4 linked regions of the Anolis sagrei genome follow. The protein of the gene in region 1 interacts with the protein of each later gene in a pairwise test. Links are inferred from orthologs where the notes say so. Each region holds a gene or a part of one and is shown in the gene's direction. Other genes may lie near its edges.

The links.
Region 2: the proteins of RNF41 (region 1) and ASB6 interact in binary tests that used the Homo sapiens proteins (3 or more experiments, as listed by UniProt). The link is inferred for Anolis sagrei from reciprocal best matches to the Homo sapiens genes RNF41 and ASB6.
Region 3: the proteins of RNF41 (region 1) and HOMER2 interact in binary tests that used the Homo sapiens proteins (3 or more experiments, as listed by UniProt). The link is inferred for Anolis sagrei from reciprocal best matches to the Homo sapiens genes RNF41 and HOMER2.
Region 4: the proteins of RNF41 (region 1) and ENOPH1 interact in binary tests that used the Homo sapiens proteins (3 or more experiments, as listed by UniProt). The link is inferred for Anolis sagrei from reciprocal best matches to the Homo sapiens genes RNF41 and ENOPH1.

What each region holds. Positions count from the first base shown.
Region 1 is NC_090022.1:138,317,547-138,324,860, reverse strand, and holds the start of RNF41 (E3 ubiquitin-protein ligase NRDP1), read left to right. Parts: upstream 1-3,970; 5' UTR 3,971-4,263; intron 4,264-7,314. UniProt on the Homo sapiens protein: Acts as E3 ubiquitin-protein ligase and regulates the degradation of target proteins. Polyubiquitinates MYD88. Negatively regulates MYD88-dependent production of pro-inflammatory cytokines.
Region 2 is NC_090031.1:3,738,602-3,746,895, reverse strand, and holds the start of ASB6 (ankyrin repeat and SOCS box protein 6), read left to right. Parts: upstream 1-5,284; 5' UTR 5,285-5,367; intron 5,368-7,083; 5' UTR 7,084-7,095; coding exon 7,096-7,208; intron 7,209-8,294. UniProt on the Homo sapiens protein: Probable substrate-recognition component of a SCF-like ECS (Elongin-Cullin-SOCS-box protein) E3 ubiquitin-protein ligase complex which mediates the ubiquitination and subsequent proteasomal degradation of target proteins.
Region 3 is NC_090029.1:32,558,421-32,566,050, reverse strand, and holds the start of HOMER2 (homer protein homolog 2), read left to right. Parts: upstream 1-4,486; 5' UTR 4,487-4,914; coding exon 4,915-4,958; intron 4,959-7,630. UniProt on the Homo sapiens protein: Postsynaptic density scaffolding protein. Binds and cross-links cytoplasmic regions of GRM1, GRM5, ITPR1, DNM3, RYR1, RYR2, SHANK1 and SHANK3.
Region 4 is NC_090025.1:17,105,863-17,113,636, forward strand, and holds the start of ENOPH1 (enolase-phosphatase E1), read left to right. Parts: upstream 1-4,511; 5' UTR 4,512-4,646; coding exon 4,647-4,730; intron 4,731-7,774. UniProt on the Homo sapiens protein: Bifunctional enzyme that catalyzes the enolization of 2,3-diketo-5-methylthiopentyl-1-phosphate (DK-MTP-1-P) into the intermediate 2-hydroxy-3-keto-5-methylthiopentenyl-1-phosphate (HK-MTPenyl-1-P), which is then dephosphorylated to form the acireductone 1,2-dihydroxy-3-keto-5-methylthiopentene (DHK-MTPene).

The sequences.
Region 1 (7,314 bases):
GATATGAGAATTAATAAATAGTTCAAAGGCACTAGATCCCATCTCATCTTGGAAGCTCAGCAGGACAAGCACTTGGGTGAGAAGTGTTTTAGGCTGTATTTTAGGCCGCCCTGAGTCCCTCCTCGGGGGTGAGAAGGGCAGGGTACAAATGTATGAAATTTAGAGGAAGGAATTCAAAAACCCACCTCTAAGGGTACCTGGTCTTTAAAAAGCGCTATGAAATTAAGGTGAAATAAAACAAGAATATGTTTATATTTGTTATAAATCGATAGGCAACTTGAGGACACATCACACATGAAGGTGAATGACACAGAACTTTGAAGGAGGGGACTGTTAAGAAGTTGTATTTTGGAAGTAACTTCAAACTCATTATACAAATAAATAAATTATTGCTACCTTAGGTCCCTTCCACACTGCCCCTATATCGCAGGATCTGATCCCAGATTATTTGTTCATCTCAGGGCCCTTCCAGACAGGCCCTATAACCCAGGATCTGATCCCAGGTTTTCTGCTTTAAACTGGATTATATGAGTCCACACTGCCAGATAATCCAGTTTAAAGCGGATAATCTGGGATCAGATCCCGGGTTATAGGGCCTGTCTGGAAGGGCCCCCAGATGATAGGGAAATGGAGACTCATATAATCCACTTTAGAGCGGATAATCTGGGATCAGATCCTGGGATACAGGGCAGTGTAGAAGGGGCATTACTCTCATGGCACCCTTTTCTCCACAAAGAGATTCTTCACTGCTTTTAACTTATCACCCTCAAGCTCTGAATATCATAGACTCAACCATTTCAATCAAGGTCCTTGATTTATTCCCGCTTGTGGTACAGAGTTGACAGAATGCAAATCTGCAGGTTTTACTTTGTGGTTTCCTTTTCTTTTTTCTACTAGAACCTCAAGCGCCACCAACCAGTCAGATGGTGACTCTGATAGACAGAGAGATGCTAAGGAACAGAGCACCTCTGGGCATGTTCTCTGCCCAGGAATTTGTGGTCAATACCTGAACTGAGGCTGGATCGACACTGCAGTTTGAACTGCATTACAATGGTCAGTTCAGAAACTCATATAATGTAGTACAGTGCATTATTTGGCAGTGCTGATCCAGCCTCAGTTCATAAGATGTTTCAAATAACCACCCCAATTCCACACCTTCCAGCATAATTTTTCTGCAACCTAGGTGGTGACCAACTTTACAGGGAGTCTAATGTGTCCAGTGATAAACAAGTAAATGCCAATCTACTTTTTTTTTTTACTGTTTCTGCATAGGTTATATCAGGCCCCATTCTACACTGCCATATAATCAATTTTATGAAAACAGATAATCTGGATTTTATATGGCAGTGTAGAAGAGGCCTGTGTTAATTATACTCCCTCAGTCTCAGGCCCCTTCTACACTGCCACATAATCCAGATTATCAAAGCAGATAGTCCACATTATCTGCTTTGAACTGGGGTCCTTTCCACGCAGCTGAATAAAATCTCACATTATCTGCTTTGAACTGGGATATATGGCATGTGGACTCAGATATTCCAGTTCAAAGCAGATATTGAGTCCCGGCCCTGAGTTACTGCCCCCCCCCCCCCCAGTAGAGAAAGGCGGGGTATAAATAAGGTAAATAAATATTCCGCCTTGATATTCTGAGTTATATGGCTGTGTGGAAAGGCCCTGGATTATATAGTGTACACCAACATATGATCCAGTTCAAAGCAGATTTTATATGGCAGTGTAGAAGGGGCCTCAGAGAAAGGCCATGGCCAACCCCTTCTGAACACATTTTGAGAAGAAAAAGGGATAGGGACTCCATCCTCAACTTGAAGTAACATGAGAACAGGGGGGGAAAGTAGGATGAAGAGCATTTTCTTTACAGAAGGAAGGAATGAAGGAAGTTGCAGAGAATCTTCTTAACTTGCAACAGATGTTATATAAGAGGCAGAAAAACCTGTTTATTCTCTTTTCAAAAAGAACATTGATCATATCTGATTATTCAGGCCTCAAAAAGTACTGCTGTCAAGTTAAATGTTATTTTTGGCTTTGTTCTGCCTTTGGTTATACCTTTGTGCACACTTATGCAAAGGGAGAAAAAAGTGGAAGGGAAATGACATCAGGCGAACTATTTGACTCCAGAAGCAGAAGACAACTCCCCACTCATGCCTAATATAAAATCCCTGAGTAAGGATGCATCTACACTGTCAACATTGGTGATCACTCGTGTCCGAGTGGGATGGCCTTCCAAGCACAGTGTCTTGGTGGTGGGTCTGTAGGTGACTCTGGAGCCCACTTCTTGATCCGCATGTTCTTCTGCAGTGAGGACATTGGTTTCCAGATGGAAGAAGGTCCTGGTCAGGGTTGGCTTGATACACCTTCCTCTTGATGCATTTCTCACTTTCGCCCTCCGTTTGTGCCGCTTCCAATTCCACAGCACTTTGGTCACAGCTGACCTCCAGTTAGGGCGCTCACGGACTAGAGCTTCCCAGTTCTCAGTGTCTATGCCAGTTTTTAAGATTGGCTTTAAGCCCATCTTTAAATCTCTTTTCTTGTCCACCAACATCCCATTTTCCGTTCTTGATCTGAGAACAGAGTAACTGCTTTGGGAGATGGTAATCAGGCATTTAGACAACGTGGCCAGTCCACTGGAGTTGATGTCGTAGGAGCATCGCTTCAATGCTGGTGGTCTTTGCTTATTCTAGGACACTGACATTTGTCTGCCTGTCTTCTCAAGAGATTTGCAGGATTTTCCGGAGGTAGCGCTGATGGAATCGTTCTAGGAGTTGCATGTGACGTCTGTTGAGTGTCCACATTTTGTAGGCATATAACAGAGTTGGGAGAACAATGGCTTTATAAACAAGCTCCTTGGTCTCCCTATAGATGTCCTGATCCACAAACACTCTCTGTTTCATTTGGAAAAATGCTGCACTCGCAGAGCTCAGGTGGTGTTACATTACAGTGTCAATGTTTGACTTTTGTGGAGAGATGGTTACCAAGGTAGTGGAAATGGTCAACATTTTCTAATGTTACATCATTAAGTTGTATTTCCAGCATTGCAGAGAGACTGGCTGGTGCCTGCTGAAAGAGCACTTTTGTTTTCTAAATGTGGAAAAAACCATGCTTTCGTATGCTTCTGCAAATGTGTTTCAAGTAACTTGTAGGCCTTCTTCTGAATGAGCACAGACTCCATTATCATCAGCATATTGCAGTTCTATAACAGATGTTGTCACCTTGGTTTGGCTTTCAGTCTGCTGAAGCTAAATAACAGAATGAGTTAAATGTACACTGTAGAACAGGTATGGGCAAACTTCGGCTTTCCAGGTGTTTTGGACGTCAACTCCAACAATTCCTAACAACCAGTAGACTGTTAGGAATTGGAGTTGAAATCCAAAACAACTGGAAGACCAAAGTTTGCCCATGCCTTCTGTAGAATGGGTGTAGTTTGACACCACTTTAACTGCATTGGCTCCATGTTATGGAATCCTGGGAGTTGTAGTTTGGTCAGGCACATTTTTGGCAGGGAAGGGTACAGAACTTCTTAAATTGCAACTCCCATTTTTCCATGGCATTCAGCCAGGGCACTTAGGACAGCAAAAAAGGTTTTCCCCTGACATTAAGTCCAGTCGTGTCCGACTCTGGGGTGTGGTGCTCATCTCCATTTCGAAGCCGAAGAGGCGGCGTTGTCCGTAGACACCTCCAAGGTCATGTGGCCGGCATGACTGCATGGAGCGCCGTTACCTTCCCGCCAGAGAGGTACCTATTGATCTACTCACATTTGCATGTTTTGAAACGGCTAGGTTGGCAGAAGCTGGGGCTAACAGCGGGAGCTCATGCCGCTCCCTGGATTCGAACCTACGACCTTTCGGTAAGTAAGTTCAACAACTCAGTGGTTTAACCCATTGGGTGCCTCCGGCGTGCAGCTGTACAAACAAGCCCCTCCCACTCCGGCACGCCCACCCCTCAAAGCCCCTCCCACTCGGCCGCCGCGTGCCTCTCCGCCTGGCTCGTCGGGCAGCGGGCGATACATAGAGTGGGCGGGGGTGAGCGAGTCGCGTCTTTCTCCAGGTGGCTAGAGTGGTCCGCCTCGCGCGCCCTCCTTCAGTCTTCCCCATCCCCGCCTCTGTGAGGGCACAGAGACAGAGAGAGAGAGAGACGGGCATCCGGGTTGGAGCTGGCGTGTTTCCGGTGGTGGCTGTGAGGGAGAAAGAAAGGGGTGGGGGAGCGAGCGGCGGAGCGGCGGATTCCCCCACCCGCAGCCGGGCCCCGCGGGAGGTAGGCCGGAGCCGAGGCGGGGCGGGGGCCTGCCGCGGGGAGCGGGAGAGCGGGGAAAGGCCACGGGGCGGGGGGTGGTTTGGAGGCACAGCGCCTGAGGGCCGCCGCCGGTCGCGCCTTAGACGCCCTTGTTGCCAGGGAGGCCCGCTGGGCAATCGGGGCTGTTCGACGCCCCCTGTGCGGCCATGGCTCCTGGGATGTGTAGTGTGGTGAGGCACCGGCCTCCTTGGGCAGCAAAGGCTCAAGGCCTGGCCGAATAGCAGCTCCCAGGCTTCCACAGCAATTGAGGCATGGCAATTAAAGTGAGATCAAACTGCATCAATTCTGCAGTGTAGACGCGCCCACAGTGGGGCTTCCTCTTCCAAGGCTTGACAAGCACTTCCAGGCAGTTCTGGCCTCCGCAGTGTATGAGAAACTACCATGAGCAGAAGGTATGTCTAAGGCAGGCATAGGCAAACTTGGCCCCTCCAGGTGTTTTGGACTTCCGGCTGTTAGGAATTGTGGGAGTTGGCGCCCAAAACACCTGGAGGGCCCAAGTTTGCCTATGCCTGGTCTAAATAGAAACAGTGAGGACATGTTTGTTGAAAAACGGCAAACTGACCATGAATGTGAGGAATATCTAAGGGGAAACTCAATGGGAATAATAATAATAATAAGAAGCATTATTTTTATTACTTGGGTTGTTGTAGTTTTTTTTTTTTCGGGCTATATGGCCATGTTATAGAGGCATTCTCTCCTGACGTTTTGCCTGCATCTGTGGCAAGCATCAAGGTAGTGAGGTGACTAGGTGAGGTCACTACCTCTGAGGATGCTTGCCATAGATGCAGGCGAAACGTCAGGAGAGAATGCCTCTATAACATGGCCATATAGCCCGAAAAAACCTACAACAACCCAGTGATTCTGGCCATGAAAACCTTTGACAATACATTTTTATTTTTTACTAGCTGTCCCCTGCCACGCATTGCTGTGGCCCAGTCTGTTGATCTGGACAATAAAGTAATGAGAAAGTGTTGGTTTCTATTATATGTAATTTCTTTATGCTTGTGGGTAAAGAGTATTTCTTGCTTTTTCTTTGTCAGTGTTTATGTGGAGAGTGTCTGGTTTGCCTCCATGCAACATATCATTGTCCTTCTTTAAGGGTCTCTTTCAAATCTATGATACTATATCTCTCTCTGTGTGAATCATATCTATCTATATCTATCTATGGCTGGATGGCTCCTTGTCAGGAGGACTTTGATTACGTTTTCTTGCCCTGATGAAGGTAGTTGTATTGCATGACCTTAAGTATTTTCTGTTGGTCATGGGGGTTCTGTGTGTGAAGTTTGCCCCCGATTCTGTCCTTTGTGGGGTTCAGGATGCTCTTTGATTGTAGGTGAACTGTAAATCCCAGTGACTACAACTCCCAAATGTCAAGGTCTATTCCCCCAAACTCCCATCTGTGTTCATATTTGGGCATATTGAGTGCTTGTGCCAAGTTTGGTCCAGATCCATCATTGTTTGAGTCCACAGTGCTCTCTGGATATAGGTGAACTACAACTCCCAAATTCAAGGTCCATGCTCACCAAACACTTCTAGTATTTTCTGTTGGTCATGGGAGTTCTGTGTGCCAAGTTTGGTTCAATTCCATCGTTAATGGAGTTCAGAATGCTCTTTGATTGTAAGTGAAATATAAATCCCAGCAACTACAACTCCCAAATGACAAAATCATAATTTTTTGAGTGATGGTCACTCCTTGTGTTGTGAGACGTTTTGTTGCCAAATTTGGTGTGATTTTGTTCATTGGTTCTTTTGTTTTTAAGGTAATCATTATGCACAAAGCATTTATATATATATAGATTTGCTTTGAAGTCCAAAACACCTGGAGGGCCCAAGTTTTGCCCATGCCTAGTCTAAAGAGAAACTGTTTGTTGAAAAACGGCAAACTGACCACGAATATGAGGAATATCTAAGAGGAAATCCAATAATAATAATAATAATAAGCATCATTTATCTTTATTTATTTCAAGTATTTATACCCCTGTCCTTCTCACCCCTGGAGGGAGACTCAGGGCGGCTTATAACAGCCAACCATTAGATGCCAAACAAATACATTAAAATACACAGTTACAATGAAAACAGCAATTAAAAACAATTATAAACATTCAATTTAAAACAGTCCGCCAGTTCAGAATCATAGTCCAAGGTCAGTCTATTGCCGGTCACGTCAAACATTCTCTTCCTAGTTGCTACATTTACTGCTCAAATGCTTGAACCCACAGCCAGGTTTTAATATTATTATTTTTTACAAAAGGCCAAGACAGAGGGCACAGACCTAATTTCATTGGGGAGGGAGTTCCACAGCCAAGGATCCACCACGGAGAAAGTCCTGTCTCCCATACCCACCAGTCTCACCTATGAAGGTTGTAGGACCGAGAGCAGGGCCTCCCCAGATGATCTTAATGTTCTATCCTGCCCCCTCTCCCCAAAGGGACTGGACAACTTACAGAAAAACAAACGAATGCATTATATAATGAATAATAATAATAAGCTTTATTTATATTCCGCCCCTCTTCCTAAAGGACCTCAGCAACTTACAGACAGTGATCAAATATCAATTAATAAAACAAAATAGCACAATAGTGTAAACATAAATAACAGTTTTAAAAACTGTTTAACCCTCTAAAAACAGTATATATAGAAATGGTGTTTAACACCAGCCAATAAGTGTGTTGAAAGATAGTTCCGGTTTATTGGCTCTTTGAGCAACAAGGATGGAGACTGGATGATGTCATTGTATTGCCAGAAACTTTAGCACGATTTACCAATAATGTAAATGTACCAGACCTTTTGGGAAACCTTTAATGATACAGTGCACACAAACACACACACACACACACCCTTTATCCACAGCGGAAACTCCCAGACTTTGCATGGATATGCAGAGTCATGGATAATAGCACCCAATTGAAATGAAGGACTAAATTATTCCTCAGGAAGACCATAAAGCCATGCTGGAGGATCTAGAACAGGCATGGACAAACTTTTTCCTTCCAGGTGTTTTGGACTCCGACT
Region 2 (8,294 bases), on another chromosome or scaffold:
AGGCAGCAAGACTAAGCCAAAGGGGAAGAAGAAGAAAGAGAGAATGAGAAAAAGGAAGAAGAGTAATAATAATAATAATAATAATAATAATAATACGTGGATTGCAAATGGCTAATAATATACAAGCTGTCATAGGGTTCATATTATTGATATTGCAACCATCTATTATTATTATTATTATTATTATTATTATTATTATTATTTTCCCTTCTTCTTATCACCCTTATCTCCATTATAATTATACTCAGATTATAACTCTTGATTTACCAATAATAATAATAATAATAGATGGCTGCAATATCAATAATATGAACCCAATGGCAACTTGTATATTGATTATTAGCCATTTGCAATCCACGTATTGTATTATTATTATTATTATTATTATTATTATTATTATTATTATTATAGATGGGTGGCAATATCAATAATATTATTGATCTTGCCGCTTTGAGTCTCCTTTGGGGAGATAATGCAGGGTTATCAATAAATATAATACTAGGGATGTGTTGTGAAGGAGGGAAGCAAGCAAGCAAGGGGATGGTGGTGACCTTTTTCCATGGGACGCTTGGGCCTCATTCCATTGCTGTGACTCCAGTTTGTGTGAAATCATCCCTTTTTCCCCCAAATGCCTTTCAGCCATTGACTCATCCCTGAGGTTTCCTGTTGTTTTCGGCGCCCGGCTCCCACCCCTCCCGGCCCCTTTCCTCCCCAAATAGCCTTCACTTCCCTTGGGATCTGTAGTTTCCCAAGGCCCTGAGCTGCAAACCTACAAATCCCAGGGCGCTCTAGCATTTATTCGATAATATGGGCTCGCCCTTAGAAAAAAGAATAGCCCACAGCCCCGTTCTATGGATCCCTGGGATTCGTAGTTCTCCAAGGTGAAACTACACATCCCAGAATGCCATCTAATTAAGCATGGCATTCATTCAATAATAAAGACGCGCCTTAAGCAAGGTAACGACCATATCTCCATTGGATGGGGGGGCTTGGGATTTGTAGTTTCCCAAGGGCCTGAGGTGTGAACTATGGGTCCCAGGATGCCACAGCATTAGGCATGGCGGCATTTGTTCAATAATACAGGTAATGGCCATCTCTAAATAAATCTCCATTGGATGGGGGCCTTGGGATTTGTAGTTCCCCAAGGGCCTGTGGTGCAAACTATGGGTCCCAGGATGCCACATCATTGGGCATGGTGGCATCCGTTCAATAATACAGTCGCTTCATAAGCAAGGTAATGGCCATATCTAAATAAATCTCCATTGGATGGGAGCATTGGGATTTGTAGTTTCCCAAGAGCCTGAGGTGCAAACTATAGGTCCCAGGATGCCACAGCATTGGGCATGGCAGCATTCGTTCAATAATACAGACACATCGTAAGCAAGGTAATGGCCATATCTAAATAAATCTCCATTGGATGGGAGCATTGGGATTTGTAGTTTCCCAAGAGCCTGAGGTGCAAACTATAGGTCCCAGGATGCCACAGCATTGGGCATGGTGGCATTCGCTCAATAATACAGACACATCGTAAGCAAGGTAATGGCCATATCTAAATAAATCTCCATTGGACGGAGGCCTTGGGATTTGTAGTTCCCCAAGGGCCTGAGGTGAAAACTATAGGTCCCAGGATGCCACAGCATTGGGCATGGTGGCATTTGTTCAATAATATAGACACATCGTAAGGAAGGTAATGGCCATATCTAAATAAATCTCCATTGGATAGGGACCTTGGGATTTGTAGTTCCCCAAGGGCCCGAGGTGCGAACTATGGGTCCCAGGATGCCATAGCATTGGGCATGGCGGCATTTGTTCAATAATACAGACATGTTGTAAGCAAGGAAATGACCATATCTAAATAAATCTCCAATGGATGGGGGCCTTGGGATTTGTAGTTCCCCAAGGGCCCGAGGTGCAAACTATAGGTCCCAGGATGCCACAGCATTGGGCATGGCAGCATTCGTTCAATAATACAGACACATCGTAAGGAAGGTAATGGCCATATCTAAATAAATCTCCATTGGATGGAGGCCTTGGAATTTGTAGTTCCCCAAGGGCCCGAGGTGCAAACTATGGGTCCTTGGATGCCACAGCATTGGGCATGGCTTTCATTGAATAATATGGATGCTTCCTTAGAAAGATAACATTCACAGCTCCGTTCTATTGAACCCTGGGATTTGAAGTTTCCCAGGGGCCTAAGCTGCAAACGGTGCAAACCCAAGGAGGCCGTGGCATTGAGCAGGGCGTTCATTTTCGATAATATATAAGGTTTTTGAGGGGGGAGCAGCCGGGCGGCGGCGGCGCCGGAGTTCTTGGGCCTGAAGAGGCCCTTGGGAGACGGCGTTTTCCTGGAATTTGGAGGGAAAGGCTTCAAAGGGAAGGCAGGCAGGCAGGCCTTGGCAAAAGCCACGCCACCAGGCTGGGAGGAAGCCTCTCTTCCCCGCAGAAAGGCAGGCCCAGTGGAGCTGCGCCTACACTGCAGGAGTTAATCCAGTTTGGCACCACTTTGGCGCCCTGGGAGTTGTAGTTTGCCAAGGCCCGGAGGCTTCTCAGGCTGCATTCCTTCCCCAAACTCCCAGCATAATAGGATGTATGGCTGCATGGTCCCAGGCGGGATATCATATTGTGAAAATGTGATTTAAAATGTAATATATTATATGCACATACAAACACATACACAAACACATACACATACACACCAGGCCTGGACCAACTTGGGCCCTCCCTCCAGGTGTTTTGGACTTCAACTCCCACAATTCCTAACAGCCTACCGTATATATGTATATGTGTGTGTTACTAAATTATTATTATTTTGTAAATGGGCCCTTGGTATCAACCGTAATTAAAAATGTATTTTTAAAATATGGATATTTGATTAATATTACTAAGTTATTTTGTAATTTTCTTTAAAGAATGGGCCCTCAGTATGCACTGTAATTCAAATGTATTTTAATTCAGGGTGTTTGTGTGTATATATATGTTAATAACACACACACACATATATATATCACATTATATATATGTGTGTATATATCTCTCTGTGTGTGTTGTTAACACATTAGTAATATTTTTATGAAATATATATCCCAAAAATCCATAGAGGAGACAAGATAATATTTTTTTATTTTTGTTTTGTTTTTATTATATTTTAAAATTGTTTTTATTTTAATTTTATTTCAATTTCATTATTTATTTATTTATTTATATTTTTTAATATCTATCTAATATTTCTATCTATCCCTTTATCTCTCTATGTATTTTATCTAGCCTATCTATCCTTTTATCCCTCCATCCATCCCTTTATTCCTCTATCCATCCATCCATCCATCCATCCATCCATCCATCCATATATCTCCCCTCTCTATCTATCTATCCAATTATCTATCCACCCATCCCTCCATATATCCCTCTATCTATCCATCTCTTTCTTTATACCTCCATCTATCCATCCCTTTATTCCTCTATCCATCTATCTGTCTATCCATCCATCCATCTACCCCTTTATTCCTCCATCCATCCATATATCCCTCCCTCTCTGTCCATCTGTCTGTTCATCCATCAATCCATCCATCCCTTGATCTAACCCTCTCTCTTAACTATCCATCCATCCCTCGAGCCATCCATTCATCCATCCATCCCTCCCTCCATCCATCCATCCATCCATCCATCCATCCATCCATATATCCCTCTATCTATCTATCTATCTGTCTGTCTGTCTGTCTGTCTGTCTGTCTATCCATCCATCCATCCATCCATCCATCCATTCATTCATATATCCCTCTATCTATCTATCGATCTATCGATATCTATCTATCCATATATCCCTCTATCTATCTATCCATATATCCCCCTATCTTCTATCTATCTATCTATCTATCTATCTATCTATCTATCAATCTATCTATCTGTCTATCCATCCATCCATCCATCCATCCATTCATTCATATATCCCTCTATCTATCTATCTATCTATCTATCTATCTATCTATCGATCTATCGATATCTATCTATCTATCCATATATCCCTCTATCTATCTATCCATATATCCTCCTATCTTCTATCTATCTATCTATCTATCTATCTATCATCTATCTATCATCTATCTATCATCTATCTATCTATCTATCTATCTATCTATCGATATCTATCTATCTATCCATATATCCCTCTATCTATCTATCCATATATCCTCCTATCTTCTATCTATCTATCTATCTATCTATCATCTATCTATCATCTATCTATCTATCTATCTATCTATCGATATCTATCTATCTATCCATATATCCCTCTATCTATCTATTCATATATCCCCCTATCTTCTATCTATCTATCTATCTATCTATCTATCTATCTATCTATCTATCTATCTATCTATCATCTATCTATCATCTATCTATCATCTATCTATCATCTATCTATCTATCTATCTATCTATCTATCTATCTATCTATCTATCTATCCCTCTATCCCTCTATCTATCTATCTATCTATCTATCCATCCATCCATCCATCCATCCATCTATCCATCCATCCATCCATCCATCCATATATCCCTCTATCTATCTATCTATCTGTCTGTCTATCCATCCATCCATCCATCCATTCATATATCCCTCTATCTATCTATCTATCTATCTATCTATCTATCTATCGATCTATCGATATCTATCTATCTATCCATATATCCCTCTATCTATCCATCCATATATCCCCCTATCTTCTATCTATCTATCTATCTATCTATCATCTATCTATCCATCCATCCATCCATCCATCCATCCATCCATCCATCCATCCATCCATCCATCCATCCATCCATCCATCCATCCATCCATCCATCCATCCATCCATCCATCCATCCATCCATCCATCCATCCATCCATCCATCCATCCATCCATCTATACCTTTATTCGTCCATCCATCCGTCTATCCCTTTATCTCTCTCTCTCTCTCTCTCTCTCTCTCTCTATTGATCCATCGATCCATCTATCGATCCATCTATCTCTCCCCCCATCCATCCATCCACCCACATGCCTACCTACCTACCTACCTACCTCTCCCTCCCTCCCTCCCTCCCTGCCTGCCTGGGGCGTGCTCCTTTCCTCTAGTTAGGGAACACCGCCCTCCGGTGGCCGTGGGAGGCGCTGCAGGGCTTTTGGCGGAGAGCAGCCGAGTTCCCCCCGGCCAGCAGGTGGCGCCAGAGAAACCAAGCCCAGGAGATAAACTGCATTTTTGTTTTGTTTCCAAATCTACCCAAAAGCCCTCCTTCCTTCCTTCCTTCCTTCCGCTTCCTTTTCGGCTGGAAGGGAAGCCGCCTTTGCAAAGGAGAGACGCGGAAAAAGAAGAGGTTTTGCAGGAGAGAAAGGTGAGCGAGTGCAGGGGGAGACTCTCCTGATCTATGCATTAAATAATATATATTATTTTATGTTGTATTGAATATAATAAAATTAGTATAGATCAAATATCTATAATATTATATTATATTGAGTAATAATGTCCCAGATTAAATAAAATAATATAATATATAGTACATTAAATGTTATTTATTTTACTGTATTACATTTAATATCATATACATTATATTATTTTAAATCATATAATAGTTCCAGATTAAATTCAATAAATAGAATATATAGTACATTAAATGTTATTTTATTTATTTTACGGTATTAAATTTAATATAATATACATTATATTATATTAAATATTAGTACCAAAGTAAATCAAATAAATAGAATATATTACATTAAGTGTTAGTTTAATCACTCTCAACAAAAGATTCTCCCCAGGCACTTCCAAGCCATTATGATGTTAACTGTTTTTTATACTGTGTTATGATAACATTGAATTTTTGCTGTTCTGGTTGTTAACCGCTGTGAGTCGCCTGGCTGAGAACAGCGGTATACAAATAAAGTAAATAAATAAATTAAATGCTAATCAAGGTGGTCAGTTGAGACATTCACATCTAGCTCCAGCAGACAAGAGTCCTTTGTCCCACCCTGGTCATTCTACAGATATATAAACCCATTTTCCTAACTCCAACAGAACTCACTACCTCTGAGGATGCTTGCCATAGATGCAGGCGAAACGTCAGGAGAAAATGCCTCTAGAACATGGCCATATAGCCCGGAAAAACCTACAACAACCCATGAAAGCCTTCGACAATACATCAAATGTTATTTTATTTATTTTACTGTATTAAATTTAATATAATACACATTATATTATATTAAAACACATAATAGTTCCAGATTATATAAAATAATAGAATATATATTATATTCAGTGTTATTTTATTATGTTACGTGTAATATCTATAATATATTAATGTAATGTATTAAAGCATATCATCCAGATTATATTTAATCATGTTATTTTTATATTACATATAATATGATATATATCAAACTTAATGTTACATCATATAAGCATTCCAGATTATGTCAAATCATATATATTGAATTTAATACAATAATGTATTATATTAAAACATACAATTGTACCAGATTATATTATAATAGATATTATGTAAATATGCTATTTTATTAAATCTTATATCATATTAAATTTAATAAGATATTTCATATTAAATCATATAATTGTTCCAGATTATATTAAATAATAGAGCAGATATTTGATTCGATGAAATAGAATAAAATATATATTTGATATAAATTGTATTAATTCATATAAGCATTCAAGATTATATTAAATAGTATAATTATATATAAAATATTACATGTTCCTTTTAATATAGAAGCTTATAATATCAATATAATAAAATCAAAAATAAATATAATAAATCATATAATCGTTGCAGATTATATTCCGTTATAAAGGAACTCTTGTGTTGGGGTTTCAGATATATCGTTATGCATGTGCAGATCTCCCCAAATTGGAAAGAAATCCCAAATACTGGTTCCAACCATTTTGGAGAAGGGACACTCCATATCAACGATGATGAATGCAAGACATGAACCATGTGGGGACTCAGGTCCGGCCGCAAAGGCATCTCATTATGCATATGCAAATCTCCCATAAGAACCATGCTTTTGGGATAAGGAGTGTTGCTTGCTTTCAGGCCGGACGGACGATGCCCTTTCTGCACGGCTTCCGGAGGATCGTTTTCGAATACCAGCCGCTGGTGGACGAGATCCTCCTCGCTTTGGGGCTGCAGGGGGCGGAGCCTCAGGAGGGCCCCAAGAGGTAAGATTTATTTATCCTTATCCTAGTATTGTAATACTGGAGCACTTTATTACTGTGATTCATTAGCACTTTAACGAGGGGATAGTTTTCCGGTAGTTGTTACTCTAATGTTGCGCTTGATTTACTATTTTAAGCTGATAGTTGCTTGTCTCACCTTGCACTTTATAATTGTTGTCAACATTGGGAATGTTTCTGGAAAGAACTGGAGGGTATACCATGAAACCGGAAAAATGAATTATAATAATGGAAAAAAGGAGGATACATCATTAGGTTTGAACTTGGATGTAACATGTAACAGTGCAATATTAGATCCTCAGAATATGATGAGTGGAGAGGGCTGGAGGGAGGGGGGGAGTTCTGTGGGTCGGGGGGCCCCCATAGCGGTGATGGTGGGAAGGGGGAGATACGGGAAAGGGAGAAGCAAGAAACCAATTCGGCTAATTCGCGAAACAACCCTAAAAAAAATTCCAAAATGTTCTCCTGACAAGGTAAACTTGTGTACCAAGGTAGACGACCCTCCTAGATTGAAGGTGGTGCTGTTGAATGCCAGGTCTGTCAATGGAAAAACGTCAACTATCCGGGACTTAATCTACGATGAAAAGGCAGACCTGGCATGCATTACAGAGACCTGGTTGGACGAGGCGGGAGGGGTCAACCTCACCCAGCTTTGCCCGCCAGGCTACTCTGTGCAGCACCAGCCGAGATCAGGAGGGCGGGGAGGCGGAGTTGCAGTAGTCTATAAAGATTCCATCTCCTTGGTCAGGTGCCCTGCCCTACAGTCAACCTTGTTCGAATGTGTCCACCTGAGGCTAGGAGACCGGGACAGGATAGGGATTCTGTTGGTGTACCGACCACCCCGCTGCTCCGCAGATGCCTTACCTGAGCTAGCAGGGTTGGTCTCAGGCCTGGCATTGGAGTCCCAGCGGCTCATAGTGCTGGGGGACTTCAATGTCCATGCAGAGACCACTCTTTCAGGAGCGGCTCAGGACTTCATGGCCGCCATGGCAAACATGGGGCTGTCCCAACGAGTATCTGGCCCTAACCACTGTGCTGGACACACACTTGACCTGGTTTTCTGTCAGGGAT
Region 3 (7,630 bases), on another chromosome or scaffold:
GAAATCTTACCAAGTCGAAGGAGAAGCTACCGAGGGTAATTTTATTCATCCAGCTGGAAGACATATCAGCTCGTGGTAAGCTGCAGAAGGAAGCTGAGTTTTGTTAGTTGTTATAAGTTAGTGTTTTATATTAAGAAAAAATGTTTGTTTTCGTGGGCAAGATATATTGCCCTTTTGTTTGGTGTAATTTGTTTCTTTGTATATGTCTTTTCTTTCATTTCTTGCACAATGGTTACTTTATTTCTTTGAATAAGAATTAATGCAACATAAACAAACACTGTGTTGATCTTTCATGATTTGGAGGCGATGGAAAAACCACATTACCTTGAAGAATGTATGTGATAACAAAGCCGTAATGGGAGCAACATATTCCACCTTATAAAGGGCCATTTGATGCCAAGGGTTCCAAGAGTAGACCCTTGCCAAGTGCTGTTGTCATTGACCAAAGTTGAAAACCTCATGTGAAGAGGCTCTTCTCATTTCACAAGAATCAGGATCTTGAATCCTGTGAAAGATCCCTGCATTTGGGAAGATACAAAAATACATACCCAGAATCATAAACTGTGAAGTGTACATGCATTGGTGTGTGTGTGCACGTGCAAAACATATATTCAGAATGATGTGAATGATGCATGCATTTGGAAGGGATGCAAAATATGTCTCCAGAATAAGATATGAAGGGTATTTATTTTTTTTATTTATTTACAGTTCTTATATTCCGCCCTTCTCACCCCGCAGGGGACTCAGGGCGGATTACAGTCAACACATATATGGCAAACATTCAATGCCAGTTTTGACAAACAACGTTTAACACACAAATACACCAAGGCTATTTAACTTTTTTCTGGCCGCCAGGGGAGCTGCTGCTTTTCATCGTCCATCAACGACACCGATGAAGTTCTTCCGCATTCCACATTCCCCAGAGTCTTTTTTCTTTATGGCCTCATAAATTAGTTAAATTTAGCCTCCCACACAAGGTGGTGCCTTATTTTTCCTACTTGACAGATGCAACTGTCTTTCGGGTTGCAAAGGTCGACATGGGCTACACAATGGCTGGACACCCACTCCCAGCCCGGGCTGGCTTCGAACTCATGACCTTTTGGTCAGAGTGATCTTAATGCAGCTGACATCATGCATCTAAGGGGTGGGGGGAGCGGGGAATGCAAAATATATATATTTGGAATGATAAGATGTGAAGGGTACATGCATTTGGAGTGTGTGTGTGTGTGTATGGAAAATATATATTTCCAGGATAAGACGTGAAAGGTGCATACAATTGGGGAAGGGAGCCATGCAAAGATATAGCCAGAATGATAAGATGTGATGGGTGCATGCATCGCGGTGTGTGTGTGTGTGTGTGTGTGTGTGTGTGTGCAAAACATATACCTAGAATAATAAGATGTGAAGGGTGCATGCAATTGGGAGAGATGTGCAAAATATAAGGAATTATAAGATGTGAAGGATAAGATGATAAGATGCCTACAATTGTGTGTGTGTGTGTGGGGGGGGGGGGGGTGGGTGTCCAAATATATGTCCAGAATAATAAGATGTGAAGGGGGCATGCATTTTGGGGGGTTGCAAAATATATTTCCAGAATGACAATGTGAAATGTGTATGAAATTGAGGGAGGGGGGTTTGCAAAACATATAACCAGAATAATAAGATATAAAGGATGCAGACGATTGTGTGTGTGTGTGGGGGGGGGGGGGGGTGTGCAAAATATATCTCCAGAACAGCGTTTCCCAAACTAGGGTTGGGATCCTAGGGTGGTCACGAGGGGGTCTCAAAGGGGTCACCAAAGACCATCAGAAAACACAGTATTTTCTGTTGCTCATAGGGGTTCTGCGTGGGAAATTTGTCCCAATTCTATAATTGGTGGGATTCAGAATGCTCTTTGATTGTAGGTGAATTATAAATCCCAGCAACTACAACTCCTAAATGTCAAGGTCTATTTTCCCCAAACTCCACCAGTGTTCACATTTTGGGCATATTGAGTATCTGTGCCAAGTTTGGTCCAGATCCATCATTGCGTAAGTCCACAGTGCTCTCTGGATGTAGGTGAACTACAACTCCAAAACTCAAGGTCAGTAGCCACCAAACCCTCCCAGTATTTTCTGTTGGTCATGGGAGATCTGTGCGCCAAATTTGGTTCAATTCCATCATTGGTGGAGTTCAGAATTCTCTCTGATTGTAGGTGAACTATAAATCCCAGCAACTAAATCTCCCAAATGACAAAATCAGTCCCGTCTGCCCCCCCCCCCCAAACCCATCAGTATTCAAATTTGGGCATATTGGGTACTTGTGCCAAATTTGGTGAATGAAAATACATCCTGCATATCAGATATTTACATTATGATTCATAACAGTAGCAAAATTAGTTATGAAGTAGCAACAAAAGTAATTTCATGGTTGGGGGTCACCACCACATGAGGGACTGTATTAAGGGGTTGCGGTATTAGGAAGATGAAGAAACACTGCTGTAAAATCATACATGGTATGATTAGATGTGAAGGGTGCATGCATTTGGGGGGATGCAAAACATATACTTAAAATGAGAAAATGTGAAGGATGCATACAATGAGCGGTGGGGAGATGAAAAATAGATCTCTGGAATGAGATGTGAAGGGTGCATGCAATTTGTGTGTATGGGTGGGTGCAAAACATATACTCGGAATGATAAAATATGAAGGGTGCATGCAATTGGAGGGAATTTAAAACATATCTTCAGAATGAGAAGATGTGCAGGGTGCATGCAATTTGGGAGGAATGCAAAACATAGATTCAGAATGATAAAATGTGAAGGGTTCATGCAATTTTGGGGAAATATAAAACATAGATTCAGAATGAAAAAGGAATAAGACGAAGATGTGCAGGGTGCGTGCAATTGGAGGGAATGCAAAACATAGAATCATAGAATCATAGAATCAAAGAGTTGGAAGAGACCTCATGGGCCATCCAGTCCAACCCCATTCTGCCAAGAAGCAGGAATATTGCATTCAAATCACCCCTGACAGATGGCCATCCAGCCTCTGCTTAAAAGCTTCCAAAGAAGGAGCCTCCACCACACTCCGGAGGCAGAGAGTTCCACTGCTGAACGGCTCTCACAGTCAGGAAGTTCTTCCTAATGTTCAGATGGAATCTCCTCTCTTGTAGTTTGAAGCCATTGTTCCGCGTCCTAGTCTCCAAGGAAGCAGAAAACAAGCTTGCTCCCTCCTCCCTGTGGCTTCCTCTCACATATTTATACATGGCTATCATATCTCCTCTCAGCCTTCTCTTCTTCAGGCTAAACATGCCCAGTTCCCTAAGCCGTTCCTCATAGGGCTTGTTCTCCAGACCCTTGATCATTTTAGTCGCCCTCCTCTGGACACATTCCAGCTTGTCAATATCTCTCTTGAATTGTGGTGCCAGAATTGGACACAATATTCCAGATGTGGTCTAACCAAAGCAGAATAGAGGGGTAGCATTACTTCCTTAGATCTAGACACTATGCTCCTCTTGATGCAGGCCAAAATCCCATTGGCTTTTTTTGCCGCCACATCACATTGTTGGCTCATGTTTAACTTGTTGTCCACGAGGACTCCAAGATCTTTTTCACACGTACTGCTCTCGAGCCAGGCATTGTCCCCCATTCTGTATCTTTGCATTTCATTTTTTCTGCCAAAGTGGAGTATCTTGCATTTGTCACTGTTGAACTTTATTTTGTTAGTTTTGGCCCATCAAAATGAAGTTCAACAGTGACAAATGCAAGATACTCCACATGTATTCAGAATGAGAAGATGTGCAGGGTACATGCAATTTAGGGGAAATGCAAAACATATTTTCACAGTGAGAAGATGTGCATGGTGCATGCAATTTGGGAGGAATTCAAAACATATATTCAGAATGATAAGATGTGCAGGGAGTATGCAATTTGGGGGAAATGCAAAGCACAAATTCAGAATGAGATGTGCAGGATGCATGCAATTGGGGGGAATTTAAAACATATCTTCAGAATGATAAGATGTTAAGGGTGCATGCAATTGGGGGGGGGGGAATGCAAAACATATATTTAGAATGAGAAGATGTGCATGCAATTGGAGGGAATGCAAAGCATAGATTCAGAATGATAAAATGTGCAGGGTGCATGCAATTTGGGAGGAATTCAGAGTGAGAAGATGTGCAGGGTGCATACAATTTTGGGGAAATGCAAAACAGATCTTCAGAATGAGAAGTGCAGGGTGCATGCAATTGGAGGGAATTCAAAACGTATCTTCAGAATGAGAAGATGTGCAGGGTGCATGCAATTTGGGGGAAGTGCAAAGAAGAGATTCAGAATAAGATGTGAAGGGTGCATGCATTTTGGGGAGGGGATGCCATACCTTTTATGGAACGCACGTGGGTCCAGCTGCCAAAGAAGGGGAGGGGAGGGGGCGGGGTGAACGTGGGAGCTGGGGCGGGGCCTTTTGCTCAAGCCACACCTCCTTCCGCCTCTGAGTCTGATCAGCAGCAGCAGCATTGGGCGAGTGTCCGAGGAGGAGGCTGCAGATCATCACAGAGAGAGAGAGAGAGAGGGAAGTGGGAGGGAGGCAGAGAGAGAGAGAGAGAGAGAGAGAGAGAGAGAGAGAGAGAGAGAGAGAGAGAGGTGGGGTCAAGGTGAGACCTGAAGCCTCCTCTTGCTCCTCCTCGTCCAGAGCTGGATCCCCAGCGAAGAAGGAGAAGAAGGAGAAGAGTCCGCTAGCCAAGCAGCCAAGCAGAGAGCCTTCTCGTCCGGACCGGCTCTTATGTAAAAGCCCCTGAAAGGCGACCCACCCGGAGGTCCCCCTTTCCACCCGGAGGGATGTGCGAAGTGGGGACTCGCCCGCCTTTCCCTGCCGAGGAGGAGAGCGAGGCGGAGGAGAGACCCCGCCGCTGTCCAGCGCTCTCTCGCCCCCGGCAATGCAGGCGGGATTGCCCGGAGGAGACAAGAACCGGGAGATGGGGTGAGTGAGCCGGGGAAGGTCCAGATTCTGCTCGAGCACGCCGCCTGCTTCTTCCCTTTCTGGGCGCAGAGGGAGACTAAGCAGTGGGGAAGCCTCTCTACTTGGTGGGAGACCTCCCTGAGAAGTGCTCAAGCAGGCATGGGCAAACTTGGTCCTTCCAGGTGTTTTGGACTGCAACACCCACCTTTCCTAACAACCTCAGGCCCCTTCCTCCCCCCTCCCCCCCCCCAGCCCCAGTCCAAAACACCTGGAGGAAAGGCCCAAGTTTGCCCATGCCTGCTTGAGCCTGTGCCAGACTGCATCAGCCAGGTCCCCAACTTGAGCCTTCCAGGTGTTTTGGACTGCAACTCCCACCATTCCTAAGAGCCTCAGGCCCCTTCCTTTCCCCCCTCACCTGCCAGGTTCCCATCGTGTGGATTCCTCATTGAGATTCGCTTAAGAGCTGGCCATACATTGGGCTTGGCTGGCAGAGAGAAGGGCCAAAAGATGGGGTGAGAAGGGAAGGGAAGGGAAAGGTCCAGCTGCTGGTCGAGCACGCCTTCTTCTTCTTCCCTTTCTGGGTGCATTGGGAGACTAAGCAGTGGGGAAGCCTCTCTCCTTGGTGGGAGACCTCCCTGAGAAGTGCTCAAGCAGGCATGTATGGGCAAACTTGGTCCTTCCAGGTGTTTTGGATTGCAACACCCACCGTTCCTAACAACCTCAGGCTCCTTCCTTTCCCCCCACAGCTGCTTAAGCACCTGCCAGGTTCCCATCGTGTGGATTCCTCGTTGAACTGGCCATACATTGGGCTTGGCTGGTGGAGAGAAGGGCCAAAAGATGGGGGGAGAAGGGAAGGGAAGGGAAAGGAAAGGGGCAGCTGCTGCTCGAGCACACTGCCTTCTTCTTCCCTTTCTGGGCGCAGAGGGAGAGCACGGAGAAGGGAAGCCTCCCCACTTGGTGGGAGACCTCCCTGAGAAGTGGTCAAGCAGGCATGGGCAAACTTGGGCCTTTCCTCCAGGTGTTTTGGACTTCAACACCCACCGTTCCTAACAACCTCAGGCCCCTTCCTTTCCCCCCTCAGCTGCTTAAGCACCTGCCAGGTTCCCATCGTGTGGATTCCTCATTGAGCTGGCCATACATTAGGCTTGGCTGGCGGAGAGAAGGGCCAAAAGATGGGGGGAGTGGGAAAGGGAAAGGTCCAGCTGCTGCTCGAGCACACCGCCTTCTTCTTCCCTTTCTGGGTGCATTGGGAGACTAAGCAGTGGGGAAGCCTCTCCACTTGATGGAAAACCTCCCTGAGAAGCGTTCAAGCAGGCATGGGCAAACTTGGGCCTTTCCTCCAGGTGTTTTGGACTGTGGCTGGGGGGAGGGAGGGGGGGAGGAAGGGACCTGGGGCTATTAGGAAGGGTGGGAGCTGCAGTCCAAAATACTTGGAGGGCCCAAGTTCGCCCATGCCTGTGCCAGACTGCATCAGCCAGGTCCCCAACTTGAGCCTTCCAGGTGTTTTGGACTGCAACTCCCACCATTCCTAAGAGCCTCAGGCCCCTTCCTTTCCCCCCTCACCTGCCAGGTTCCCATCGTGTGGATTCCTCGTTGAACTGGCCATACATTAGGCTTGGCTGGCGGAGAGAAGGGCCAAAAGATGGGGGAGTGGGAAATGGAAAGGTCCAGCTGCTGCTCGAGCATGCCGCCTTCTTCTTCCCTTTCTGGGTACATTGGGAGACTAAGCAGTGGGGAAGCCTCTCCACTTGATGGAAGACCTCCCTGAGAAGTGCTCAAGCAGGCATGGGCAAACGTGGGCCTTTCCTCCAGGTGTTTTGGACTGTGGCTGGTGGGGGGGGGGCAGGGGGGAGGAAGGGACCTGGGGCTGTTAGGAAGGGTGGGAGCTGCAGTCCAAAATACTTGGAGGGGCCAAGTTCACCCATGCCTGTGCCAGACTGCATCAGCCAGGTCTCCAACTTGAGCCTTCCAGGTGTTTTGGACTGCAACTCCCACCATTCCTAAGAGCCTCAGGCCCCTTCCTTTCCCCCCTCACCTGCCAGGTTCCCATCCTGTGGATTCCTCATTGAGATTCACTTAAGAGCTGGCCATACATTGGGCTTGGCTGGCGGAGAGAAGGGTCAAAAGACTAAGTCGTGGGGAAGCCTCTCCACTTGATGGGAGACCTTCCTGAGAAGTGCTCAAGCAGGCATGGGCAAACTTCGGACATCCAGGCCTGTAGCAAGGGGGTGGTTTTAGGGGTTCAACCCCCCCCCCGAAATGTTTCAGATTTTTTTAAAAAAACCTGGCTTACTCATGAATTTTAACTGGTTAACCAAATTCCCATGCTAAGTCTATGAGATGCAAAAAATTAAGAGTTCCTCCAGAACTGTAAGCACTATCTCAAGCATAGATTGACAATTTATTCACACTGTCATTACTTGCAGCCATAGCCGATGTAGTGAAGCAACCAAGTTGGGTGTGTGTGTGTTGAATGCTCTCATTAAGGAGACCAGACTTGGTGGAGGTGGTTTACAGGAGTTGAGCTGCAGACTATTGAAGATTGCTCTGCCCCCGGCTGTGCTCTTTGCTTCAGCGTGAGGTAGGAGGCCGGTTTCAACCCCCCCCCTCCCCCAAAATTTTCAACCCCCCCCCCCCCCGAAATTTTCAACCCTCCCCGAAATTTTTTTCTGGCTACAGCCCTGCTCCAGGTG
Region 4 (7,774 bases), on another chromosome or scaffold:
AGGAGTGGCTTAAGGAGCTGGGCATGTTTAGCCTGAAGAAGAGAAGGATGAGAGGAGATATGATAGCCGTGTATAAATATGTGAGAGGAAGCCACAGGGAGGAGGGAGCAAGCTTGTTTTCTGCTTCCTTGGAGACTAGGACGCGGAACAATGGCTTCAAACTACAAGAAAGGAGATTCCATCTGAACATGAGGAAGAGCTTCCTGACTGTGAGAGCCGTTCAGCAGTGGAACTCTCTGCCCCGGAGTGTGGTGGAGGCTCCTTCTTTGGAAACTTTTAAGCAGAGGCTGGATGGCCATCTGTCAGGGGTGATTTGAATGCAATATTCCTGCTTCTTGGCAGGGGGTTGGACTGGATGGCCCACGAGGTCTCTTCCAACTCTTTGATTCTATGATTATAGGAGTTGTAGTTCATATCCAGAGAGCCCTGTGAAACCAACCAATGAATCTGGACCAAACTTGCCATGGATGATGGGCTTTGCATTACCTTCACTCACTACCACAGGTCACTGCAACCCCCCAAAGCGCTTCTTCTCCAATACCAGAAATATAGTTTAATGGTACAATATTAGAAAATGTTGACCATTTCTGCTTCCTTGGCAGCCAACTCTCCACAAAAGTCAACATTGACACTGAAATCCAGCTCCGCCTGAGCTCTGCGAGTGCATTCTTCCGAATGAAGCAGAGAGTGTTTGAGGATCGGGACATCCGTAGGGATACCAAGGTTCTTGTTTATAAAGACATAATGGCAACTGTCTTGGACAGCAGTGGCTCCCAAAGTGGCCCATTTAAGGTGGAATCAGGTATCATTGACCTCTTCAGTCTATATTTCACAGAATGATAGGACAAAGCTTGTGTGCACTGAACAAAAGTGTCACTCACTACTCAGGCCCTGGCTCTCCCTTTACCCTTTCCTATGGCCTACATTAGGTACATCTTGATTTATAGGAGTTGTAGTTCACATCCAGAGAGCACTGTGAAACCAACCAATGAATCTGGACCAAACTTGCCACGGATGATGGGCTTTGCAGTACCTTCACTCATTACCACAGGTCACTGCAACTCCCCAAAGTGCTCTTCCTTCTCTAAATGGTTCTGGCCCAACTTACCTGTCCGAACGAATCTCCTCTTATGAACCTGCTCTTGGTCCTGCCATCTTCACAAGTACAGCTAGTGGGAACGAGAGAGAGGGCCTTCTCAGTGGTGGCCCCTCGGCTATGGAACACCCTTCCTAGGGAGAGTCAATTGGCTTCCTCGCTCCTGTCATTCTGGAAGAATCTTAACGGAGTAACTGATATAATAATGGAATAATTATATGGCATAACTGGACATTGTTTTAATGATTATCGGTTGAAGTATGTTTCATTACAATGTTTGATTTTATTGTTACTGATGTTTTTTACATCGTATATTGTAATTGTGTCCTTGGCGGCAATGAATTCTTGCCTTGTAAACTGCCTCGAGTCGCCGGAAGGCTGAGAGAGGCGGTATAGAAATGTACTAAATAAAATAAATAAATACCAGAAATACAGTTTAATGGTACAATATTAGAAAATGTTGACCATTTCTGCTTCCTTGGCAACCAACTCTCCACAAAAGTCAACACTGACATTGAAATACAACTCTGCCTGAGCTCTGCGAGTGAAGCATTCTTCCGAATGAAGCAGAGAATCGGGACATCCGTAGGGATACCAAGGTGCTTGTTTATAAAGCCATGATAACATAATGGCAATTGTCTTGGACAGCAGTGGCTCCAAAGTGACCCATTTAAGGTGGAATCAGGTGTCAAAGAGGGATGTGTTATTGCCCCAACTTTATTCTCCATCTTCATCTCTATGATACTTCATCTTGCTGATGGGAAGCTTCCCACCGGAGTGAAAATAATCTATCGGACAGATGGCAACCTATTTAACCTCAGCAGACTGAAAGCCAAAAGGTTATAACAACATCTGTTATAGAACTCCAATATGCTGATGACATCGTCTGTGCGCATTCAGAAGAAGACCTACAAGCCACTCTAAACACCTTCGCAGATGCATACGAGAAGCTCGGCCTGTAATTGAACATTGAGAAAACCAAAGTGTTCTTCCAGCAGTCACCAGCCAATCCCTCTCCAATGCCGGTGATACAGCTTAATGGTGTAACATTAGAAAATGTTGACCATTTTCGCTACCTTGGCAGCCACCTCTCCACAAAATACAATATTGACTCTGAAATACAACACCACCTGAGCTCTGCGAGTGCAGCATTTGTCCAAATGAAACAGAAAATATTTGAGGATTGGGAAATCCATAGGGATACCATGGTGCTTGTTTAAAAAGTCATTGTCTTCCCAACCCTGCGAAACGTGGACTGCCTACAGACATCACATGCAACTCCTGGAACGATTCCATCAGCGCTGCCTCCGAAAAATCCTGCAAATCTCTTGGGAAGACAGGCGGACAAATGTCAGCATGCTGGAAGAAGCAAAGACCACCAGCATTGAAGCGATGCTCCTCCACCATCAACTGTGCTAGACCGGCCACGCTGTTCGAATGCCCGACCACCGTCTCCCAAAGCAGTTACTCTACTCCGAACTCAAGAACGGAAAACAGAATGTTGGTGGACAGGAAAAGAGATTCAAAGATTGGCTTAAAACCAACCTCAAAAACTGTGGCATAGACACAGAGAACTGGGAAGCCCTGGCCCTTGAGCACTCTAACTGGAGATCAGCTGTGACCAGCAGTGCTGCAGAATTCGAATGGAGGGCAAAAGGGAGAAACGTGCCAAGAGGAAGGCACGACAAGCTAACCCTGACTGGGACCACCTTCCGTTTGGAAACTCCACTGCAGGAGAACATGCGGAGCAAGAATAGGGCTCCACAGCCACCTACGGACCCACCGCCAAAACATCACATCTGGAGGAAAATATCTTCACTCACTACCACAGGCCACTGCAATCCCCACGAAGGACAGACCAGGACTACACTTGGCACACAGACCTCCCATGACCCACTTTATGTCCTGTTGCGGTTTGGGGGAGGATGGGCCAAAAATGACAGGATTTGTAGTACCTTCACCAGATTCAGCTCCAACTTCCACAGACCACAAATGATGGACCTGAACCAAACTTGGCACACAGACTCCCCATGATCAACGGAATATACTGGAGACATCTGGGGGGGGGGGGGGGAGAGATGATCTTAATTTATGGGAGTTATAGTTCACCTGTATCCATAGAAACTGTGACCCCCCCCCCCATCAACAATGGATTGGGACCACATTTGGCACCGAGAAGCCCCATGACCAACTGAACATACTGCAGGGGTTTGTGGGAATTGACCTTGATTTTGGGAGTTGTAGATCACCCTTATCCAGAGAGTACTGAACCCACCTGATGTCAGATCTGGACCAAACTTGGCACACAGACCTAACATGGCCAACTTTGAATACTAGTGGGGTTTGGGGTGATTGACCCACAAATTTGGGAACTTGGAACACTGCATCTCCCAGGATTCCATTGCATGGAACCAGGAGTTTCAAATGGAGCCAAGGTGCATCCAGTGTAAGATGTAGATGCACCCCTTATAAAACTACAAATCCCAGAATTTCCTAACATGGAGCCAGGCCAGTGAAAGTGACGCCAAAGGGAATTCATACTAGTGTAGATGCAGCTCGTAGAAAACTACAGACCCCAGGATTCCATAGCAGGGAGCCAGGGCAGTGAAAGTGGTGCCAAACTGCATTGATAGTTGTGTAGATGCATCCCTTAGAACGCACACACACACACAATAAATTAAATTTAAAAAAAAATCCAGAATTCCATTGAATGGAGCCAGGGCAGTGAAAGTGGGGGTTAAACTGCATTCCTTCTAGTTAGATGTAGCCCTTGTAAAAACTATATACCCCATGTGCGATGCAGCCCTTGTGAAACTGCAACTCCCAGGATTCAATGCATAGAGCCCTGGCTGTGAAAATGGTGCCAAAGGGCATTCATGCTGGCGTAGATGCAGCCCTTAGAAAACTACAACTCCCAGCAGTCCATAGCAGAGAAAGCCGTGCCAAACTGCCTTCATACTAGTGTAGATGCATCCCTTAGAAAACTACAACTTCCAGGAGTCCATAGCAGGGAGCCAGAGCAGAGAAAGCTATTCCAAACTGCCTTCATACTAGTGTAGATGCATCCCTTAGAAAACTACAACTCCCAGGAGTCCTTAGGAGGGAGCCAGGACAGAGGAAGCTGTGCCGAACTGCCTTCATACTAGTGTAGATGCATCCCTTAGAAAACTACAACTTCCAGGAGTCCTTAGGAGGGAGCCAGGACAGAGGAAGCTGTGCCAAACTGCCTTCATACTAGTGTAGATGCATCCCTTAGAAAACTACAGCTCCCAGGAGTCCATAGCAGGGAGCCTCCCCGCCATCCACCTCCATGGCGCCCCTTCTGCCCTCCTCTCTCTCTCCCTCTCTCTCTCCTTTTCCTTGGCTGCCAATGGGAGGGGACCAAATCCGGATGCGGCTGCCCTGCTTCCAGCCACGTGGGTAGAGGAGGCTGCTCTTCCCTTTTGGGCGTGAGCTTCAGCCCGAGCGGCGCTTCCTTCTGCTGCATCGGCTGAGACCCATTGATTGGCTCCCCCTTTTCCTCTTTCCTCTCCCTCTTTTCCTCTCGGAGATGGTGGGCTTCACGGTGCCCGCGGAAGTCAGGGTCTTCCTGCTCGACATCGAAGGCACTACAACTCCCATCGCCTTCGTCAAGGTGAGGAGGGCGGGGGGATGATGGGCTGTGTAGTGGGGAGGAGGAAAAAAACCCCCTTTGGCTTTGGATCTGTGCGTTTTGTATGCATCTCTGAAAGATGCAGTTTTGACACCCCTTTTTGCAGTTTTGACACCCTTTTTTGCAGTTTTGACACCCCCTTTTGCAGTTTTGACACCCCTTTTCTCTGCTATGGAATCATGGGAGTTGTAGTTTTGCAAAGGGCTGCATCTCCTACCTTGTAGAATGAATGAATGCAGTCTAGCACCGTTTTGGTGAGTTTTATAAGCCAGGGCAGTGAAAGTGGTGCCATAGTGAATTCCTACTGCTGTAGATGCTGGCCTTGTAAAACTACAAATCCCATACCATGTAAAACTACAAATCCCATTCCGTACCATGAAGCCAAGGCAGTGGAAGTGATGCCAAAGTGAATTCCTACTGCTGTAGATGCTAGCCTTGTAAAACTACAAATCCCATTCCATACCATGAAGCCAAGGCAGTGGAAGTGGTGCCAAAGTGAATTCCTACTGCTGTAGATGCAGGCCTTGTAAAACTACAAATCCCATACCATGTAAAACTACAAATCCCATGAGTCCATACCATGGAGCCAAGGCAGTGAAAGTGGTGCCAAAGTGAATTCATACTGGTGTAGATGCAGCTCTTGTAAAACTACAAATCCCATGATTCCATACCATGGAGCCACGGCAGTGAAAGTGGTGCCAAAGTGAATTCATACTGGTGTAGATGCAGCCCTTGTAAAACTACAAATCCCAAGACTCCATAGCAGGGAGCCAGGGCAGTGAAAGTAGTGCCAAAGTGAATTCATACTGCTGTAGATGCAGCCCTTGTAAAACTACAAATCCCAGGAGTCAAGATGAAGGAAAGTGGGGACTAAAAACTGCATTCATCCTAGTGCAGGTGCATCCCTTATAAAACTGCAAATCCCAGGAGCCCATGGGGGGGGGGGTCAATAACATTTTATAATGTTGCCCATCTGCACTGTCGACTTAACGTAATTCTGCATTCACTTTCACTTCCTTAGCTCAGTGCTTAGGATGTAGAATAATGGGGTTTGTAGTTTGGTGAGGGACCATTACTCTTTGGGAGAGAAGGCCAAAGATCTTGCAAGACTACAACTCCCATCAAACCCTAGCATTGAGTTGTGGCAGCTAAAATGGGGTCAAACTTAATTAATTCTATAGTGTAGATCAGTTATGAGCAAACTTAGGTCCTCCAGGTGTTTTGGACTCCAACTCCCACAATCCCTAACAGCCTCAGGCCCTTTCCTTTCCCCTACAGCCGCTCAAGCGGGAAAGGAAAGGCCCTGAGGCTGTTAGGGATTATGGGAGTTGAAGTCCAAAACATCTGGAGGACCTAAATTTGCTCATACCTGGTGTAGATGCACCTCAAGTTGATTGTTGACTTGAATTTTTGCATGGTTTTTCCTAGGCCAGGAATAATAATGATAATAATAATAATAATAGTCTTTTTTGTATATCCTGCCACCATCTCCCAAAGGGACTCGGGGCGGCTCACAGAACACTCAAGGTGTGACAATCAAAATACAACAAGTGCAAAGCAAAACATAAACAATAAACAGTCAACACAACATCATAAATTCACAATACAACCCTGGTAAAAAAAAATGAATTATAGCAATTGCTGTAGAGAAAACATTAAGGTTGCTGTGAGTTTTCCAGGCTGTATAGCCATGTGTCAGAAGCATTCTCTCCTAACATTTTGCCCACATCTATAGCAAGCATCCTCAGAGGTTGTGAGGTCTGTTGGAAACTAGGCAAGTGAGGTTTATATATCTCTGGAATAATGTCTAGGGTGGGAAAAATAATTCTTGTCTGTTTATTTATTTATTTACTTTTCTTGTATACCGCAGTTTCTGAGCCCGTAGGCGACTCAACGCGGTTCACAAGTGTTTGAGGCAGATGTGAATGTTACAATTGGCTGGCATGATTAGCATTGAATGGCCTTGCAGCTTCAAAGCTTGGCTGCTTCCTACCTGGGGGAATCCTTTATTAGAAGGTGATTGGCTGGCTCTGATTGTTTCTTGTCTGAAATGTAATGCTGCGTTAGCTTACAGCACCATTAGCAGTCTCCAAATCATCCAAATACTAACCAGTGCTGACCCTGCTTAGTTTCCAAGATCGGATGGGATCAGGATAGGGCTGTCATATCACAAGTTGCTGCTTCAGTAATTTTGACTGCTCCTCCTCGCAAGGAAGCTGTTGAACACCAAATAGGTCCCATTCCCTTTCAGATTTTAAATTTGGGGTACAACTCCCAATTCAAATTGCTGAATGCATTTGATCACAGAACTATATCAGACCTCCCTTCTGCCTTCAGGGAAATCTGATCCAGGGTTGTCTCTTTGCAGTGAATGCAGCAAAACGAAATCCCTATAATAACAGTTCTGCAACCATAGTAAAAAAAAGGAAACAAAAAAACCTGATTTATAGCATTGCAGCAACTTAAAACGCCAGTTTAGGTATCTAAAGTAAAATTCCTCACTTGCTGTAATGTAAAAAATTGAAGACTGGAGGAAAATGGAATTTGGGGACAGAATTTCATAAAATACTTTTTTTTCTCATGTCAGGAGTGACTTGAGAAACTGCAAGTCGCTTCTGGTGTGAGATAATTGGTCATTTGCAAGGACGTTGCCCAGGGGATGCCTGGATGTTTTACCATCCTATGGGAGGCTTCTCTCATGTCTCAAGACTCGGCTGTTTGGTTGTGCATTTAAGTAATCAGATCTAATTTGCCAAATAGTTACTGTTGAATGTTTTTATGTTGAATGTTTTTATATTGTGTAAATGCTATTTTAGACTGTAAGTCGCTCGGAGCACCTTGGTGGAGAGCGACTAATTAAGAAATAAAGTGAAGTGAAGTGAAGTAAAGAAGCTGGAGCTGGCAGACGGGAGCTCACCCTGCTCCTTGGATTCAAACCGCCAGCCGTTTGGTCAGCAGTCCTGCCGGCACAAGGGTTTAAACCAGGGGTCCTCAAACTTTTTAAACAGAGGGCCAGGTCACAGTCC